Linked DNA regions of Oryctolagus cuniculus. The protein of the gene in region 3 interacts with the protein of the main gene of each other region in a pairwise test. Links are inferred from orthologs where the notes say so. Each region holds a gene or a part of one and is shown on either strand. Other genes may lie near its edges.

Region 1 (3,936 bases), on a different chromosome or scaffold from region 3:
TGTTTGCAAGCATATTTAGATAACACAATCATTACTGGAAACGACAGACGTGATGGGTTAGACTATCAAATAGGCTTAACTAACGCTCAGGAAGAAAGAGAACAGGACATGGGAGGAAGGGGAGAAAAACAGGGGTGGGCGAGTTCAGGCTATAGTAAAGACTTTAAAGGCAAGTTGGCTTCATTCATGAGGACGATTTTTCTTTCTTTTACAGTAACTCACCGTTTGTGCATCAGCCCCATGCACAAGGCAGAGAGGCTGTACAGGAAAAGCTGGAAGAGAGTCCATCCTAGTTCCCTCCTGCCTTGTGCATGCAGTGAGCCTTGAAGGCGGCCGCATACTTCATCAGAAGTTTCTCTGTGGTCCTGTTTCTGTTAAAGCCTGTAGTGGTTACAGGGCTGTAACTGGAAAAGTTGGGAAACTTTTTCCCTTGGTGGGGAGAAAGGAGCCACGAAACAAATGAATGAAGTATTCCCTTGGCCCAACATCTCCATCCATTTTTGTACCAGATTTTCATAGAAACACCTTTCCTCAGTTCCCCGGCTGGAATTTTGCTCTCGCGTGGCTCTGCCTGCTATCGGATGCGCCGATTTCGAAAGTCAGCGGGCGCTGGACCTGGCTTTGGAGCCGTGGCGATTGGCGTTTGCCAGAGTCCACGCGATGTGCTGTCCTGGGTGGTAGTTCCTCCCAGGAGTAGAATGTGTAAAATAAACAGTTGCTGAAAAGCGTGAAGAATTAACGAAGTGAAAATCTCGGGTTATTTGTTGGGTAATTGACACGCCAGTGACCTCCTTAAATGCTTAGTTGTTTAAGGACGTTTAGGGAGAGGATGAATGAATCTTCTGGGCGCTTCACTCGCACCAGCGTGCCAATCTCGGTCTTTCGGAAACGGGCGGCGGAAGAATACAAATCCTGTAACGAAGAGAGGGGAAAAAAGGGGTTAAATCAAGACCCCGGAGCTCCCCTCCGTGTCATTTGAGAAGACTCGCTTGCCTCGGCCGCCCGGGACTCGGGAGATTACAGCGGGAGAACGCGGAGGCGCTAGGACCCGGCTGGCGCTTGGCCGCGGCCTCTCTCGAGAGGGCGGAGGAGGGGGATGTGGGAAAGGAGGGGTGTTGAAGGGGGCGGGGGGAGTCATTTATGCAGAGCAGGCGCTGCTGCCATTGCCACTCTCACTCCCCGCGCGCTGCTCGGTGCCGGAGAGAGCGCAGGGAGCCAGCCAGCGAGCGCTCGGAGCCCGGGCCAGCAGAGGGGGCGCCCGGCCGCTGGCTGCACTGCCCCCGCCGGCCGACTTCGCCGCTCTTGGGGGCCCAGGAAGGAGCAAGAGGCAGTCGGGGAGTCCCGGAGCCCGGCCGGAGAGACCCAACTGCGGAGGGCGCCCGCCCTGCGCCGGAGCCGAGGAGCGCCGGCTGACCGCCCCGCGGGCTGGAGAGCGGGGAGCTCTGGGTCTCCGCAGCCCCAGGGATGGTCTAGGAGCCGGCGAGAGGTCCGCTGCTTTGCTCCCTGTCGGCGCTCGCCGCCTCCTGCCGATCGCCTGGGGCTGCGAGCCGCGGGGCTGCGCGCCGGGGCGGCCCAGGCCGAAGTTAGTTGTGCGCGCCGCTCAGCGCGCAGAGCCAGCGAGCGAGCGAGCGAGGGAGAGAGGCAGCGAGGCGCCGGGACCATGGGCTGGGGGAACCTCTGTTGCTGCCCGGGACGACTGGACCTGCTGTGCGTGCTAGCGCTGCTCGGGGGCTGCCTGCTCCCGGTGTGCCGGACGCGCGTCTACACCAACCACTGGGCAGTCAAAATCTCCGGCGGCTTCGCGGAGGCCGACCGCATCGCCAGCAAGTACGGATTCCTCAACATAGGACAGGTAAGGAACGCCAGGCTGGCCGGGCCCTGGGTCCTGAAGCCGCTGGGTGCTCCTTGTCCCCTCGCGGCGCCCCCTCCCCCTCTTCCAGATGCTCCTGCAGCTGTTGCCGAACTCTCGGGCGATGCTCTCTTGCTCGTGCGCGCGCTCACATACACACACGCACACGGCCCGAAGTCGGCGGGGCTTGTGTTTTGTTTACTCGTGTTTGGCAAGCCACACGGGACAGGTAGGGTCTCTGGAAAAAAAAAAAAATCTGAGGTGACTCCGTGGCGGTATCAGACCTGGCGGGACCTTGTGGACTGCAAAGTCTGGTAGCGCTGGTGGCCTGAGGGAAAAGTCTCAGCGGGTGGGGTGAGCGCTTTTGAGGGGTGAGTGCGCCCTTGGCCCCGGCCGGCCAGGGACATCCTTTCCTGCTCCGACCTGAATGCTGCCCAGAAAGTAGTTTCCTCTTACCGAGCTGCGGGTCCACTGGGCGCCGGAGTCGCCGGAGCGCGGGGACTGGAGCTTTAGCGGAGGCGGGAAAAGGGGGGTCAGAGGGGGCGGGACCTGGTGCGAGCGCAGATTTGGGGGAGACCTCCCCGCTGCCGCGCCGGGCGCAGGTTCGACCCTCATGGGGGTGCTTCCGGCGGGGGCGGGGGGGCGGTGGGCAACTTACAAAGCGCGTAGACCGCGTTTTGCTCCTGGGAAAACGGGGAAGCTGCCCCCGGGCGGGACCGGCCCGGCGGGCCCGGGGCGGGCAGCAGAAGCGCGGGGTTTTTGTGGGGTGTCGCCCGCGGGCTTTCGGTAGAGTTACCGTGCTGAAGGGAAATGCCAGCTCACTGAGGGGATGCTGTGGGGTGATTTAGAGGTAGGACGGGTAAAGGGACTTGGCTGCCACGTTCTCTTCTCCCCAGCACCCCAGTCTCCCCCCACGTCCGTATGAGAAATGGGGGTGGAGAAGGCTGTGGAACTGTGTCCCAGAAAGCGCCCTTGCCTCCAGGGAGCTCCCCCCGGGCTGGCCGAGGAAGGGACCTTGGCCAAGCTTCAGCGAGATTCTGCCGGGGTGGGCGAAGAGGGTGAAGGGGGCGCCCTTTCCTCAAGGGACACGCACCCTGTGTGTGTGCTCTGCCAGCCAAAGCCGAGAGGAAGGAGCCAGCCGGTGCCTCTGGGGCAGGAGAGCACGGGTGGTGTCTGATGCTCTGACGCTCCCAATCCAGGAACTCGGGGAGCCCTGGGCGTTGCGGGGTGGGGGTGGGGGGCGAGGGGAGCAGCGCCCGGAGAGCTGCTGTCGCCGCGGTTAGGAGGAGCTAGGGAGCGCGGGAAGGTTCAGGTGAGCGGCAGCGCTAGGTCTCGCTCGCAGCCCGCACAGAGAAGGGAGGGCGCACTCCAGAGAAGCCGATTTTGTTGGAGCAGGAAGACAGGGGCCAGGGGCACGGAATGGATACTCTGCGGGCTACACGTCCGCCGCGGCTCCTCCCCTCCCCCGCCCTCGAGGAAGTTGCGGGACCCGCCAGATTTTGTTGCCCGCGCGCCTGTCATCTGCACACGGCTTGTTAGGCTTCTGCTGGCTTCCTTCCTTGTCTCTTGGAGAAAAACCCCGGGTCCGTTGCGGTCTTTTGATTTGGACTTAAGAGTTGAGCGCTGCACCCATCTCGGGAATGTAACCAGGAAGGCTGGCCCTGAAAGTACAGTAGTGGGGGAAATCTTCCCAGAGACTCACATCCCACATTCTTCAACAACTCCCCTATGCCAGGCAAATTTGGAAGGAGTTCCTTGAAGATATGCCTCTTTCTTAATTGCCAAACGACCCTGGCCTGTGACTTACCGCGGGACAAGAAATCAAGGCTCTTGGGGGTTGAACTCCAACAGGGCCGCCCAGAGAGACAGTGGCAAAGCCTTGATTCAGTTCTTAGGCTCTCTGTGTGAGGGTTTTCTAGGGAATCTTCGTTTCCTAAGACTCTTGATTTAATAGCTCCTGCAGCCATGATTCCTAATTGGCAGATACTTAGTTCAATCAAACCTGGACTGCATGGCCCTAGGGTGCTTTCAGGACCTGCAGTGGCAGAAGCTCCTATATCTTTCTGTATTCACTGAGTACAACTTAA
Region 2 (4,201 bases), on a different chromosome or scaffold from region 3:
ATGCGCGTTAGCAGGAAGCCAAAAACAGGAGTGGAGCTGGGGTGTGCACCCAGGCACTCCAATACGGGACGCAGGCATCCAAGCTGCCTCTTAACTGCTAGCACCAACGCCCACTTTAACACCAAAGTAGCTGCTTGACACAGGCTTGGCGGTAGCTCATGGCGATCGTTAGATTCTGTTTCCACTAGCTTTGAAACACGTGTACCACACACCGTTCCTTCTTTGAGAAATACTGACGGGCAGGCATTTGTCCTCAGTACACCTGGGCCCTTATCAAGTCCTGGCTCCGCTCCCAATTCCAGCTTCCTGCCAGACACTGGTAACCACTCAAATAACTGGCTCACCACCACCCACGTGGGGGACCTAGACTCCCACTTCAGCCTGGTCTACCTCTGGCTGTTGTGGGCACTTGGGGAGTGAACCAGCAGACAGGAACCCATCTCTGCCTCTCAAATTTAAAACAGTTAAGGGATGACGCAGGGACTCCACTCACTCCCCTTCCTTCCCCAGAGGTCACAGTGTTACCATTTTGATATACTCGTCCTTTCCTTTGGACGCCCACCCCCCAGGGTAAAGCAGTTTTCGGTGTGGGGGACCATTTTAACACACTGTGTGTTACTGAGCAGTCTTTCCTCATTGGCCGGCTCTCCCATTGCCTCCGATCCGCCTGTTCTGAGTAACCACAACACGGGAGTCTGCAGTGACGACATCACCCTGGTATTTAGCCATTCCCCTCCTGCCAGGCATTTAGGCGAGTTCCAAGTTTTCCTTACTAGAAACAAGGCTGCAATAAACACACGCGTACAAACTCGTGCACGCAGGCAAGGCCTCTCTAGGGCAGGGGTGGGGAACGTTCAGTGTCTGAGCCATATAAGGCTGCGAAATCATTTGTTCTGGCCAAGGCAACCACCGAAGAGACTCAAAATTCCGCAAACTACAGCAGGCTGCTTTTTAAGTCCATCATTTTCTATGGCCCATAATGACGGTGGACAGATCCAAACGGCCCTTGGCAGACAAAAGGTTCCCTCGCCCCTGCTCCAGGGAAAACAGCAAGAAGTGAACACACTGGGGTAGGTGTCTGTGGTGGGCAGGTGAAGCTGCAGCTTAGACACCCACATCCATATCAGAGTGCCTGGTCTGTCTTGTCTAGTCTGCTTCCAATCCAGCTTCCTGCTAACACTCACGCCTGGGGAGGCAGCGGCAGCCAGCCCAAGTGCTAGGGTCCCTGAACTCCCGTGGGAGACCTGGCTGGAGTTCGGGGCTCCTGGCTTCAGCCTGGCCCAACCCCAGCTGTTGCGGGCATTTAGGGCGTGAACCAGCAGATGGAAGCGTTCTCTCTCCATCTCTCCCCTTCTCTGTCACTCTGCCTTTCAAATAAATAAATAAATAAATAAAACGTACCAAAGGGGGGGGTAAATATAGTAGATTACAGATTATGAGCATTTAACACTTCCAGACGTTGTACCAATTTCCACCCCCGCCAGCAGTCACACGAGCCCTGCCCCCCAATCTCACCACTTAAGCGGTGACAACTACCAGCACCAGGCTGCACCTGTAGTTTGCTCTTCGCCGGGCACCATCCTGCGCGCCCACACCCAGGGAGCTGTGCCTACCCCCGCACCACCACCCGGCACCACCGCTCGGTGCCCGGATCCCCCATACCTTCTCCTGGATCTGGCCCGCGATGTTCCGCAGGGCCTCCTGGAAGATTCTGTTCTTGGGCTCCAGGCTCACGCATCTCTGCAGGTCCAGCACGGCCTGGTCCAGGCGGCCCAGCTTCTCCAGGGCTTGGCTCCGCCGGTAGAGCGCTTTGATGTCCCCGCCGTCCTTTTCGATGGCTGAGCACAAACAGGAGCTTGTCAGCACCCGTGAGGCCACCGTGTCCGGGCGAGAGCAGGAGAGAAAGCTCTGGAGGGCCAGAGGAAGGGGTGGGGGTGGGGGTGGGAGACAGAGGTGGGGCTCGGTACTCCAGCCCCAGACAAGGTACAGGTAGCTGTGAAAAGGGCAGGCCCCAGCAAGTGCGAAGGGAGGAGGCAGGCGAGCTAGGGGGTCACAGCAGCAGACGCGGTGGTGATGCAGTGGCCCCAGGATTGTCGCCCGTGTCACGAGCCGGCGCTCGCCTACCTTTCGATGCCTCGGCTTCGGCTTTGTCATAGTCCTCCTGTGAGAGAGCAGGTGCCTGAGCGGAGGGTCCCCCCCTCCCGGGGACCGGCCGCGTGGCAGTCACCCACGCCCCTCCCATCCATTCCGCGGCCCCCCAGACATGTGACAAAGCGGGGTGGCCAGGCTGGGGCTCCTCACCAGCCTGAGGTGGCAGGCGGCCAGGTTCCGGTGCAGGACGGCCTGGTCCTGCGGCGTCGCGCCCAGACCCAGGGCCTGGGTGTAGGCCGCCAGGGCGCCCTCGTAGTCTCCGCATTTGAACAGCTCGTTGCCCTGCTTCCGCAGCTGCTCCGCCGAGCTGGCCTGTGGGGAGGGGGCGGCGGGCCGCGTCGCGGTGGGCTCGGGGGAGAGGGAGCGGGGAGCGCGGCCCGCGGGCGAGCGCCGTGCAGAGCCAGGAACGCGGGAGGCGGTGGCCAGGGTATGGTCAGGGAAGGGGCGCGGAGGTGCGGGAAGAGCCTCGTACCCCGGGACGGCGGGCCGGGGCTCGGGGTGGGGGTGCCTGGACCACTCACAGTCATCGCAGAGCCGATGTCCCTTCCCCGCGCAGCCGCAGTCTCTGGGGCGGGGGTGTGTCTAGGCTCCGGAAGCCGTCGCGAGAGGCCCCGCCCAGCGCTGTGTCAGGGAAGGGGCGGAGCCACGGAGAGGACGTGCTGCCCAGGCGGGGCGGGGCTCTCCGTGCGCAGGCGCAGAGAGGGCCCCAGGCGTGCCTTGCGTGTTCACGCGGAGACCCGTAGGGGGCGAGCCGCCGAGGACCTAGAGGGAGGTGCGCGGCGGCCCCGGCGCGGGCTCCGGCCACGGCAGAAGTGCACCAGGTCTGTGGTCATTAGGGCCACCAGCAGCAGGCTGTAGAGGCCCAGCGCTAGGAGCGGGCCCGGGCCCCTATGGGAGAGGAGAGAGTGTTAGCAGCAGAGAAATGTAGATCTTCACGTACTCATTGGCGCACACATTTGGATGGACACTGGCATCCTGGGTGTAATCCACGCGCGACAGGCCCTTCTGAGCCGCCCCGACCCCCTCTGCCTCACGACACACCCCTTGACTCAGGGTGGGTGCCCACTTCCCGCAGCCCCCGGCACTTTTCCATTGCAGAAGTGTGTGTCATGATTGACGGGACTTCGCTCATTGTCCCCGCGCTAATCCGCAAACTGCAAACTCGCCACCCCACTCCACCCCGGAACCTGGGAACAGAGCCCCGGATCCTAGAACCCCTGGTCGGTGGCTCCGGGTTGGGGTCCGCACCTGAGGATGGGCGGGGGCGGAAGGGCGGACAGGTTGACTCGGTGTAGGGCCTCGAATTCTGCCCGCGTGCAGCAGGAGCCCTCGGCAGCCCGCAGGTGGCAGCAGTAGGCCTCCTCCGGGGCGTCGGAGAGCCGAGGGCAGAAGAAACCCCGGTGGAGGCGGCCGTCGGCGTCCGGGCTGGTCTGGCACAAGTGGGGGTGGTGGGCCAAAGCTGAGGAGAGAGGCACGGGGGCTGGAGGCCAGCGGGAGGGGCCTGCCCACGCCAGAAAAGCAGGCTCCCTTCTCCTCCCCTCCGCCCCCAGCAGCCCGCAAAACGCCCGGGAAGCGCAGTACCTGAGAGAGAGGTGGGCCGAGCACGGGACCCCGGACCCAGGAGCAGCAGTAGCCCCACCCACAGGCCTGTGGGCGAGGGGCCGGGCCCCCTTTTCTGGAAGCCCATGAGAGGTCACCTCGGCCTCCGCCCTGGTGCTAGGAACCCCAGCATCTCCTCGGCGTGGCCGCGGTTGCAGACAGAATACAAGATCAAAGCCGCCAGGCCGTGGGCCCACAACCCTGCTGGAGCTGCCCTGTCCCAGGCTTCTGGAGAGAGATGAAAGGGACCGGGTTTGTGTCTCTCGGTGGAATTCGCGCCTGAGGTTTTCTGGGCGCAAGGGGGACCGGCCCGGAATGGAGGGTGAGCGAGAAGTGGGGCCGTGAGCCCCCAGGACAGGCACCAGGAGCTGGGTGAGCTCCTTGCCACCTGTTCTGCAGCTCCCTGGCTGCCCGTGGAAGCCCTGGGAGTTCTCACCCCTCTCTTTCAGCC
Region 3 (3,940 bases):
TGGGAGCCGGCTGCCCCGCGGCCCGGTGCGCCCCCGGGACAGAGCCAGCGGCCCGCATGCGCTCAGGGACTCCAAACTTATGCTTTCCTGTTTGCGGGATGCAAACCCGAAACGCCCAAGCGCCGATGGCACGCATCAGAGTGTTCGGTTTCCCAATCAGTGGCACCATAGCGCAGTGAGGAGGAGTGTGTGGAAGGAGCTGGTTTGTGTGGGAGCGGGAGAGAGGCGGTGGGGTTCTGGAGGAAAATCAAGGGCCCTGGGTTGCCTCCTGGGGGAGGAGGGGGCGAGGCTGGGAGCACGCGTGCAAATCCGCACGTGGCATGTGACAGGGACAAACTCTCTTCAGAATCTTCCCGGCCCAGGACAGCTTGCTCTAGATGGACTGGTGGCTGGGAAATGGAGTGGGACCAGTTTCGCTGTGACGGTCAGGGGGCGGGACGCCAAGGCAGGGCACCAGTAGGCGGCTCACGTCGGGATGCCTGGGCGCGGGCTTCCGCGCACTTTCCGCCGGCTCACCGCACCCAGTCCCGGTCCATTCGGTCTCGAGCGCTGCCCACTTGCGGGTCGCGCTGCGCAACTCCGCACCTGGACCCTACCCCAGAGCCCGGTGCCCGGCCGGCGCACACACCTCGGCGGCAAAAAGCCGGGCGCGCCTTGTGCCCCGGGGCGCACGCAGCGAGCGAAGTCTGAGAAACTTCTCGCAGCGTGCGCTAGACTTGGCTCTGCTCTGCCCTTTTCAGCCGCGCTCACTCCCCCAGGGGTTGGGCGCACCCCTAAGCTTTCCTGCGGGTGACAGTTTCCAAATGGCACTGACAAGTCATGGTGCGCGGGTAGGGGCTGGGGGGTGGGTGCGGAGCCGGGACTGGCGGGATCCCGGCGCCTGGTGCGCGGCTTGCAGCCCGGGGCTGCTGGCAGGGCCGGGCGGGCGGGGACACGCGGAAGGACTGTCCAGCCGGCAGTGGGAAGCGGGGCTGGGAGCGCGGGGCGCAGACTGAGCGGGCGCGCTGGAGGAGCTCGCATGTGGTCAGCGCCAGGCTCCTAAGCCAGCCCCCGGCTCACGTTACACTCTATTTATAACCTCCCAGAGCCCTTCCTCCCCCCCCCACCCCACCCCCCAGGCGTATAGTTCTCTGGGACCACCTTCTTTTGGCTTCGACCGCTCCCACTCTTGACATCCGAGTCGCTCGGAGGGAAGCTCCTCTGGGTCCCAGTGTTTATATGTGAAGGAGACCGGCCCGAGGGTTTAGGACAGGGATTACACGAGCGCTGCCGGAAAGCCCGCGCGGCTCTGGCCTGGGGACACAGGGGCGGCGTAGGGTGCGGGGGAAGCCACACGATTGCCACGGAGAAGCGCCCGCAGGCTGGTGGTGCCAGCGTTGGTGCGGTCGTCTTGAAGTCTTCCCGCCTGGAGCCCGCGACTTGCATGCTATGGAACACCCGCTCTTTGGCTGCCTGCGCAGCCCGCACGCCACGGCGCAAGGCTTGCACCCGTTCTCTCAGTCGTCGCTCGCCCTGCACGGGAGATCCGACCACATGTCCTACCCGGAGCTCTCCACTTCGTCGTCCTCGTGCATCATCGCGGGATACCCCAACGAAGAGGGCATGTTCGCCAGCCAGCACCACCGGGGCCACCACCACCACCACCATCACCACCACCACCACCACCAGCAGCAACAGCACCAGGCGCTGCAAACCAACTGGCACCTCCCGCAGATGTCCTCCCCGCCCAGCGCGGCGCGCCACAGCCTCTGCCTGCAGCCGGACTCCGGAGGGCCCCCGGAACTGGGCAGCAGCCCGCCGGTCCTGTGCTCCAACTCCTCCAGCCTGGGCTCCAGCACCCCGACTGGGGCCGCTTGCGCGCCGGGGGACTACGGTCGTCAGACGCTGTCACCCGCGGAGGTGGAGAAGCGAAGCGGGGGCAAGAGGAAAAGCGACAGCTCAGGTAAGGTGCGCGCCAAGGACCCTCGGCCGGAGTGCAGACGCAGCTGGGTCGGGCCAGGGCGGCAGTTTGCAAGCGCTGGAGGCTGCAGCGGGGCACAGCAAAAGCTGGGGCAGTGTCCAGCCCGCGCAGGTTTGGGAGATGCGGCTGTGGTCCCAGTTACTTGGGGGGGCGAGGGGAGTGTTACCCTTGTGCGCAACCTACACGCAGCCAGCAGCGGCAGCTCTAGGCTTCCCAAGGTCCCAAACTACTTCTCCAGAAGTTTGAGACCAAAGGGGAGCGAGTGACAGTTTGTGAAATCGATTGCGCGGCGTGACGGCCGGGCGCGGCGCCGGGAGGGGCGTGCGCCTGGGGATGCGTGTCCGTGGGGCGGGCGTGCGGGTGCGGCTCCCGGACTTCTGCCTCGCATGTTCCCGACTCCGAATGGCTCGCTTTTTCCCATCGTTAACTGGCTTTCCAAATCGTTGCACAATATTTGGAACCTTGGAATGGAACTTGGCAGAGCGTATGAGAAAAAAAAAAAGTTTTAGGTTATTTATTTATTTATTCTGGATTTCAGGATTCCTTAAATAGCAACCTATTCTAAATGGTAAATGCTTCCCTTTCTTGGGAAAGGAAGATAGTGTCTAAGAAGTTTTTTTTTTTTTTTTTTTTTTTTTTTTAAGGAGCATGTCAGAAATTTTTAAACAAATAGATGACGAAAAGTATTGGAGAAAGACGATTGTTAGGAGTAGTTAGTAGTATTCGTATGATACCAATGCAAAGGGAGAATCGAAGAGGTTTCAGGGTGGAAGATCAACTCCTCTCTCAATGAGTGCAATACGACAAAAACTGGGAATCCAAGGGCAGGTCCAGTGCTGTCTGCTCAAAGTGATACGCGCAACGGGGCACCCACCAGGCGTTCGTCTGCGTGCCCGGAACCTAACAGCCCTGGGAGCGCCGGAACGCGCAGCTTGCCCGGGAAATCTAACCACAGAGGCAGGTCTGCAAAGCCCTTACCTGCCTGCATTGTGATGAAATTGTTCAGAGGATTTTTCACTGAAGGGGAGTTGTGACCCTGGGTTCCTTCGTGTTTTAGGAAGATGTCATTTGCGCAATAGAACACTTAGCGTGTGTTTCTTTTGCGAAATTGATGTCTATAGTCCCAGAAGATAATCTCAGCCGTGGGTTGAAAGAGTTGGCAGATGTCTATCTCCTGTAAAGCTTTAGGCCACATAAAGGACGCAGATGGAAATGAGCGTTGGAATTGCTTTGCAGCGATGCTACCGATCTTTCTTCAGTTTAGCCTGCGCTGGATTTCTTTCGACTTTTACTTTCCAGGGTCAGGGGTGGACCATTAATGCCCCATCACAAATTAGTTAATATCTAAGAAAGTTACTAGCGATGTCACTCATTTTTAATGGGTTTTACTAACTACAAATGAAACTCTCTTAAGACCAGTTGAAAGGTTAATCCCAGCAAGAAGGTTTTCATCTTCATTATTTAAAGATAAATAAATAAACAAGGGCCAGTTTTAGACAGCAATGGCCCTTGCACAGACTGGGCGCTGGATATCAGTGTTGGTGTGGAAGCGGTGGCAGTTCAGGCGGTTCGGGCTGATGAGAACATCCTTCTAGAACTAGAAGCTCTGAGTGAGCGGCCCTTCTCACTCTCCGCGGGAGAAGCCGGATGATGGGCTCCCTCCTCAGGCGTCCTGACTCAGCCCAGTACCCCTGAGTGTCTTAGGGCAAATCCGAATTTCATAGGGCAAGTGTGATTTTGTTTGGGACAGATAGAGAAAGTGGAATACAAGAACTGATGCCCACGAATTGTTTCAATGAAACTTAAAAAAAAAAAAAATTGGCCTCCTTTAATGCTCCTTAGCTCCTCTCTCATGGATGAGAAATTAGCCATATAACAAAGTAAAATTCATTTTTACATGTTGAAGCTGATATTTAGGGTCCATGAAAAGCAAGTTTGTGTCAGCCGCATAAAGTATTGATAGATTACAGCTTGAGTGGG
Region 4 (4,111 bases), on a different chromosome or scaffold from region 3:
CCGTTTGGCCACCGTGGTGTCATCAGAGTCGCTGAAAGTGGTGACCGGGGCCACTTCTCGACAGTCCTTGATGGCCTCATCCAGGCTCGACTCGGAGGCCTCGCTGAAGCAGCAGGCGTGCTCCGCCAGGTGCGTGAAGTCAGACCGGCGCTTCCGGCCCCGGCGCCTCCGGAGCTGCCGCCTCTGCTGCCGCGGGCTCAGGGCCATCTCCTCCCACAGCTCGCCAAGCTTATTCTGCTCAGAGGTCTGCTCTAAGGCGGAGGCTAAGTCATGTACCAGCTCATCCATGAGGGCCACATCTGCAAAAGGAAGTTCAAAAAAAAAGCCTGACTCGGGTCCACTGTGTTCAAGTAATTTTTTAAGACAGATGGCAGAACTGCAGAATCCTACAGAAAATATAAAGTCCCCTGGCTACACTTTTTTTTTTTTTTTTTTGACAGGCAGAGTGGACAGTGAGAGAGAGACAGAGAGAAAGGTCTTTCTTTGCCATTGGTTCACCCTCCAATGGCCGCTGCGGCCGGTGCACCGCGCTGATCCGATGCCAGAAGCCAGGTGCTTCTCCTGGTCTCCCATGCCGGTGCAGGGCCCAAGTACTTGGGCCATCCTCCACTGCACTCCCTGGCCACAGCAGAGAGCTGGCCTGGAAGAGGGGCAACCGGGACAGAATCCGGCGCCCCGAGCGGGACTAGAACCCAGTGTGCCAGCGCTGCAGGCGGAGGATTAGCCTATTGAGCCGCGGCGCTGGCCCCCTGGCTACACTTATCTTTCAAACCACCCATGTTCCCTTAAGTCACTAAAACAGGTATCCAGTCCGTGTTAAATGCCCGTATTTAGCCCTTGTGAAAGGGCTGAAGTCAGGAGTTGTTAAGCACAAAAGCTCAAACGCTCATCAGATGTCAACTGGAATCTTAACAAAACCAGGCAAATAAACTCAGAATAGATCGGGCCTATTTTCCCCCAAACTTGTCACTGAATTATCTGATAATGCCTCATCAGACAGAAAATCACACAGCTGCTGAGCTGGGCAAACACAGGGCAGAATCCAGTCTCCCGGGGGGAGAACGGCTGAAGGGCCATCCTGCGGTCTGGGTCCCTGCTGAGAACGCACAGGGCAGGGAAGGGCAAGGCAACTTGGGGGCAACGGCGGCTTGCGGTTTTAGGGACCCGAGTTTGTACTCAGAATGGGCAAGAGACCAAGCTTCATCCATCCTGACCTGGTACCGCGGGCAACCTGGAAGCTACTAGGTCTGGAACTGCACTGGACATGTCACGTGTGTCTGAGTAACTGGCAACGTTTAAGCTGCTCACCCCAGCCTTCAGAAAACAAGTGATCATCCTAAGTATGTGTTTTGGTGCCGCACCGCCTTGCAAAACCAGAGTACAACTATGCTGAAATGACAGGGCTGAGAATCGCTGAACTTTCTGGCTAACTCCTTTCCCAAGTTCCAATTTTGCTACTCATGCTCACCAAACTCTCACACTTCCTGAGTCACCTGAGACACCACAGGGAACACAAACAATTTTCCAAAACTCTTCTTTTAAAGGGAAATGTCTAATATAATCTGTGCAACACCTAATTAAATATACATTAAATTAGCACCTTTCCCCTAACCCTCGTTAAGCCCAAAGACCCTACTTGGGGCTTAACCCTGCGGCGTCGCGGGCAGCCTGCGTTTCCCCTCTCGAAGCTGGTATCTTGCACAAGGCTCTCTAAAACCCTTTCCCCTGGCCTCTGCGCTCCAAGGCAGGAAAGCGGAGGTGCCACCTCTGTGAGAGCAAAGGCAACACCGAGGTCCAAAACCACCAGCGAGTCCCAAAGCCACACGCATCACAAGCCCACATCCTCCAGAGCAGTAACAGGTGACGGGAGGAGGAGAGGCAACGCACCCCTGCAACCGCAAGAAGCCGCTGGGCAGAGAACGCCTAAGCCCACCGCCCCCATAAAGAACGCCTGCTTTAGAACTCGGGCAGGCAGAACTGCACAAACTTGCACGTGGAACCAAGTCACCAAACACCCGCCAGTCCAGTGCCTGCCGGCACAGCATCCTCTCCTGCCTCCAAGGCTGCGATCCAAGCAGGGGGTGAGGGGAGGACCCTGGGGCGCCCGCACGCCAGGCACCGGTGCAGCACGCAGCCCACTAGAGGGTGAGGCTGTGTGAGTCACGCCCGGGGAAGCGGCGGAAGCGGGGAGGAGTGGGGGGGACAGCGAGGAGGCGCGGCGGGCGCTGGGCGCAGGACCCGGGTGCGGCGAGCGGGGGCTCACCAGGGGCGGGGGCTCAGCTGCCAAAGAGCAAGTCGTGGCGACCGAGCGCCCTCCGCGATCGGGGGCGCAACGCTGCCACACAGGTGAGGACAATCGTGTTTCCAGGGACCCTCACCACGCCCCGGCCAGTCGCTGAGGGCGAGGGCGATCACAGCTCAGGGCACCGCGCGCCCACGCTGCCGCCAAGGGAGGCAGACAGCAGCGGGGAGAGGAGGCGGCGGTCGCCCCGGGGGTGGCCCGCTGCTCATCATCAGGGATGGGGGCCCTGGGCCCTGAAGAGCAAGGCCCCGCCACCCTAGCCCCAGCCTCCGGCCGCTGCAGCCCCAGAACGCCCTGAACCTTTCAGACTCCAGCCCCGATCCCCTCTGGCGTTGGCCCCCTGGACCCCGACCCTCTCCTCCCGCTCCTCCCCCTCACCGGCTGCCGCAGCCGCCTCCAATGGCCACCGCTTTTTGGGCCGAGTCTCCCCGCCAGGGTTTCCCTCTCTGATCTCATTTCCGGTCTGGGCCGGAGGGGTGGGGCGGCGGCGGGGTGGAAGGCGCTGGCTGCGCGGGAGGGCCCGCCCGACCCGGCGCTTCCGCCCTGAGGCCGCGCCCACTTCCGCCCCACCGTGGGCGGGGCCACGGAGCAGCTGGGACGCCGGGAAGGGCGAGGAATAGCGGCACTAGTAGGGTCTCCGAGCCCAGGAGACCCCGAGCGCGGTCCTCCCCTCCCTTGGGGGCGTCAGGAAGTTGGGCGCTGCGAAGCTGAGAACTGGATCTTGATTCTTTGAGTGTTGGTACTGCCCAAAAGGAGTAGTTTTTGCATTGAGTTACTCAAAGCATTAAAAATACACCTGCCTTGGGAAACTAAACAGGTGAAATGTTATGACTGTTGGAAGGAAAGAAGTAGTCGTGGGCTCATACTCTAGATGACTGGAGGAGTGAGTGAGTGGCGAGGAAGGGTCTCCCACAGAAGAATCCTGCATAGTCTGTGGAGATGCCGCACCCGGAAGCCTCACCCCCAACTTACAGAGTCTGTGCACAGGGATTTCTTCCAAAGACAACAGTGTGGAAAGGGGGAGAATGAGTACCCTCACAGTGGGGGAACCTGACAGACCCTCCCTCGGCACCAGCTCTGAGAAGTCACGTGGATAGGATGTGGACTGCGGAAGAGATCCACACTTCCCTTCCACAACCTATGATGCCAACCTAGTCACAGGGGGAATCAGAAAACCAAAAACAACCCTCAGGCGAGGGACAGTCTACAGACTGCCTGGCCTGTCACGGAAGAGAAAGAAAGCCGTGGGAAGCTGTCACAGCTAAGAGGAGCCTAAAGACCTGCGCCAGGGGCCAGCGCTGTGGCGCAGCGGGTTTAAAGCCCTGGCCTGAAGCACCGGCCTCCCATATGGGTGCCAGTTCGAGTCCCGGCTGCTCTTCTGAGCCAGCTCTCTGCTGTGGCCTGGGAAAGCAGTAGAAGATGGCCCGAGTCCTTGATCCCCTGCACCGATATGGGAGACCCAGAGGAAGCTCCTGGCTCCTGGCTTTGGATTGGCACAGCTCCAGCCGTTGGCCCCATATGGGGAGTGAACCAGCGGATGGAAGACCTTTCTCTCTGTCTCTCCCTCTCACTGTCTGTAACTAGCACTCAAATAAATAAATAAAATCTTAAAAAAAAAAAATCCTGTGACAATGTGATGCGATATCTTGGGTGGGACCTGAAGTAGTTAAAGGATGCTGGGCAAAAACTACAGAAATTTGAATTGAGGCTGGGCTTCAGTGAATAATTCTATGTCGATATTGGTTATTGGTTAATTAAGTGTGACAAGAGTGCTATACTAAAGTGAAATGTTGACATAAGGGAAATTGT

What was found. The genes of interacting proteins can lie anywhere in the genome.
Region 1: the proteins of MEOX2 (region 3) and PCSK5 interact in binary tests that used the Homo sapiens proteins (3 or more experiments, as listed by UniProt). The two-hybrid records come from large-scale screens. The link is inferred for Oryctolagus cuniculus from reciprocal best matches to the Homo sapiens genes MEOX2 and PCSK5.
Region 2: the proteins of MEOX2 (region 3) and UNC45A interact in binary tests that used the Homo sapiens proteins (3 or more experiments, as listed by UniProt). The two-hybrid records come from large-scale screens. The link is inferred for Oryctolagus cuniculus from reciprocal best matches to the Homo sapiens genes MEOX2 and UNC45A.
Region 4: the proteins of MEOX2 (region 3) and GPATCH2L interact in binary tests that used the Homo sapiens proteins (3 or more experiments, as listed by UniProt). The two-hybrid records come from large-scale screens. The link is inferred for Oryctolagus cuniculus from reciprocal best matches to the Homo sapiens genes MEOX2 and GPATCH2L.

What each region holds. Positions count from the first base shown.
Region 1 is NC_091432.1:154,377,776-154,381,711, reverse strand, and holds the start of PCSK5 (proprotein convertase subtilisin/kexin type 5), read left to right. Parts: upstream 1-1,136; 5' UTR 1,137-1,660; coding exon 1,661-1,852; intron 1,853-3,936. UniProt on the Homo sapiens protein: Serine endoprotease that processes various proproteins by cleavage at paired basic amino acids, recognizing the RXXX[KR]R consensus motif. Likely functions in the constitutive and regulated secretory pathways.
Region 2 is NC_091443.1:100,330,543-100,334,743, forward strand, and holds the start of UNC45A (protein unc-45 homolog A), read right to left. Parts: upstream 2,801-4,201; 5' UTR 2,679-2,800; coding exon 2,673-2,678; intron 2,464-2,672; coding exon 2,302-2,463; intron 2,162-2,301; coding exon 2,125-2,161; intron 1,909-2,124; coding exon of another isoform or gene 1,839-1,908; coding exon 1,663-1,838; intron 1-1,662. Other genes in the region: protein shisa-like-1, read right to left, coding at 2,877-3,039, 3,400-3,610, 3,733-3,838.
Region 3 is NC_091447.1:7,289,576-7,293,515, reverse strand, and holds the start of MEOX2 (homeobox protein MOX-2), read left to right. Parts: upstream 1-1,140; 5' UTR 1,141-1,428; coding exon 1,429-1,942; intron 1,943-3,940. UniProt on the Homo sapiens protein: Mesodermal transcription factor that plays a key role in somitogenesis and somitogenesis and limb muscle differentiation. Required during limb development for normal appendicular muscle formation and for the normal regulation of myogenic genes.
Region 4 is NC_091451.1:22,120,136-22,124,246, reverse strand, and holds the start of GPATCH2L (G patch domain-containing protein 2-like), read right to left. Parts: upstream 2,801-4,111; 5' UTR 2,681-2,800; intron 300-2,680; 5' UTR 289-299; coding exon 1-288.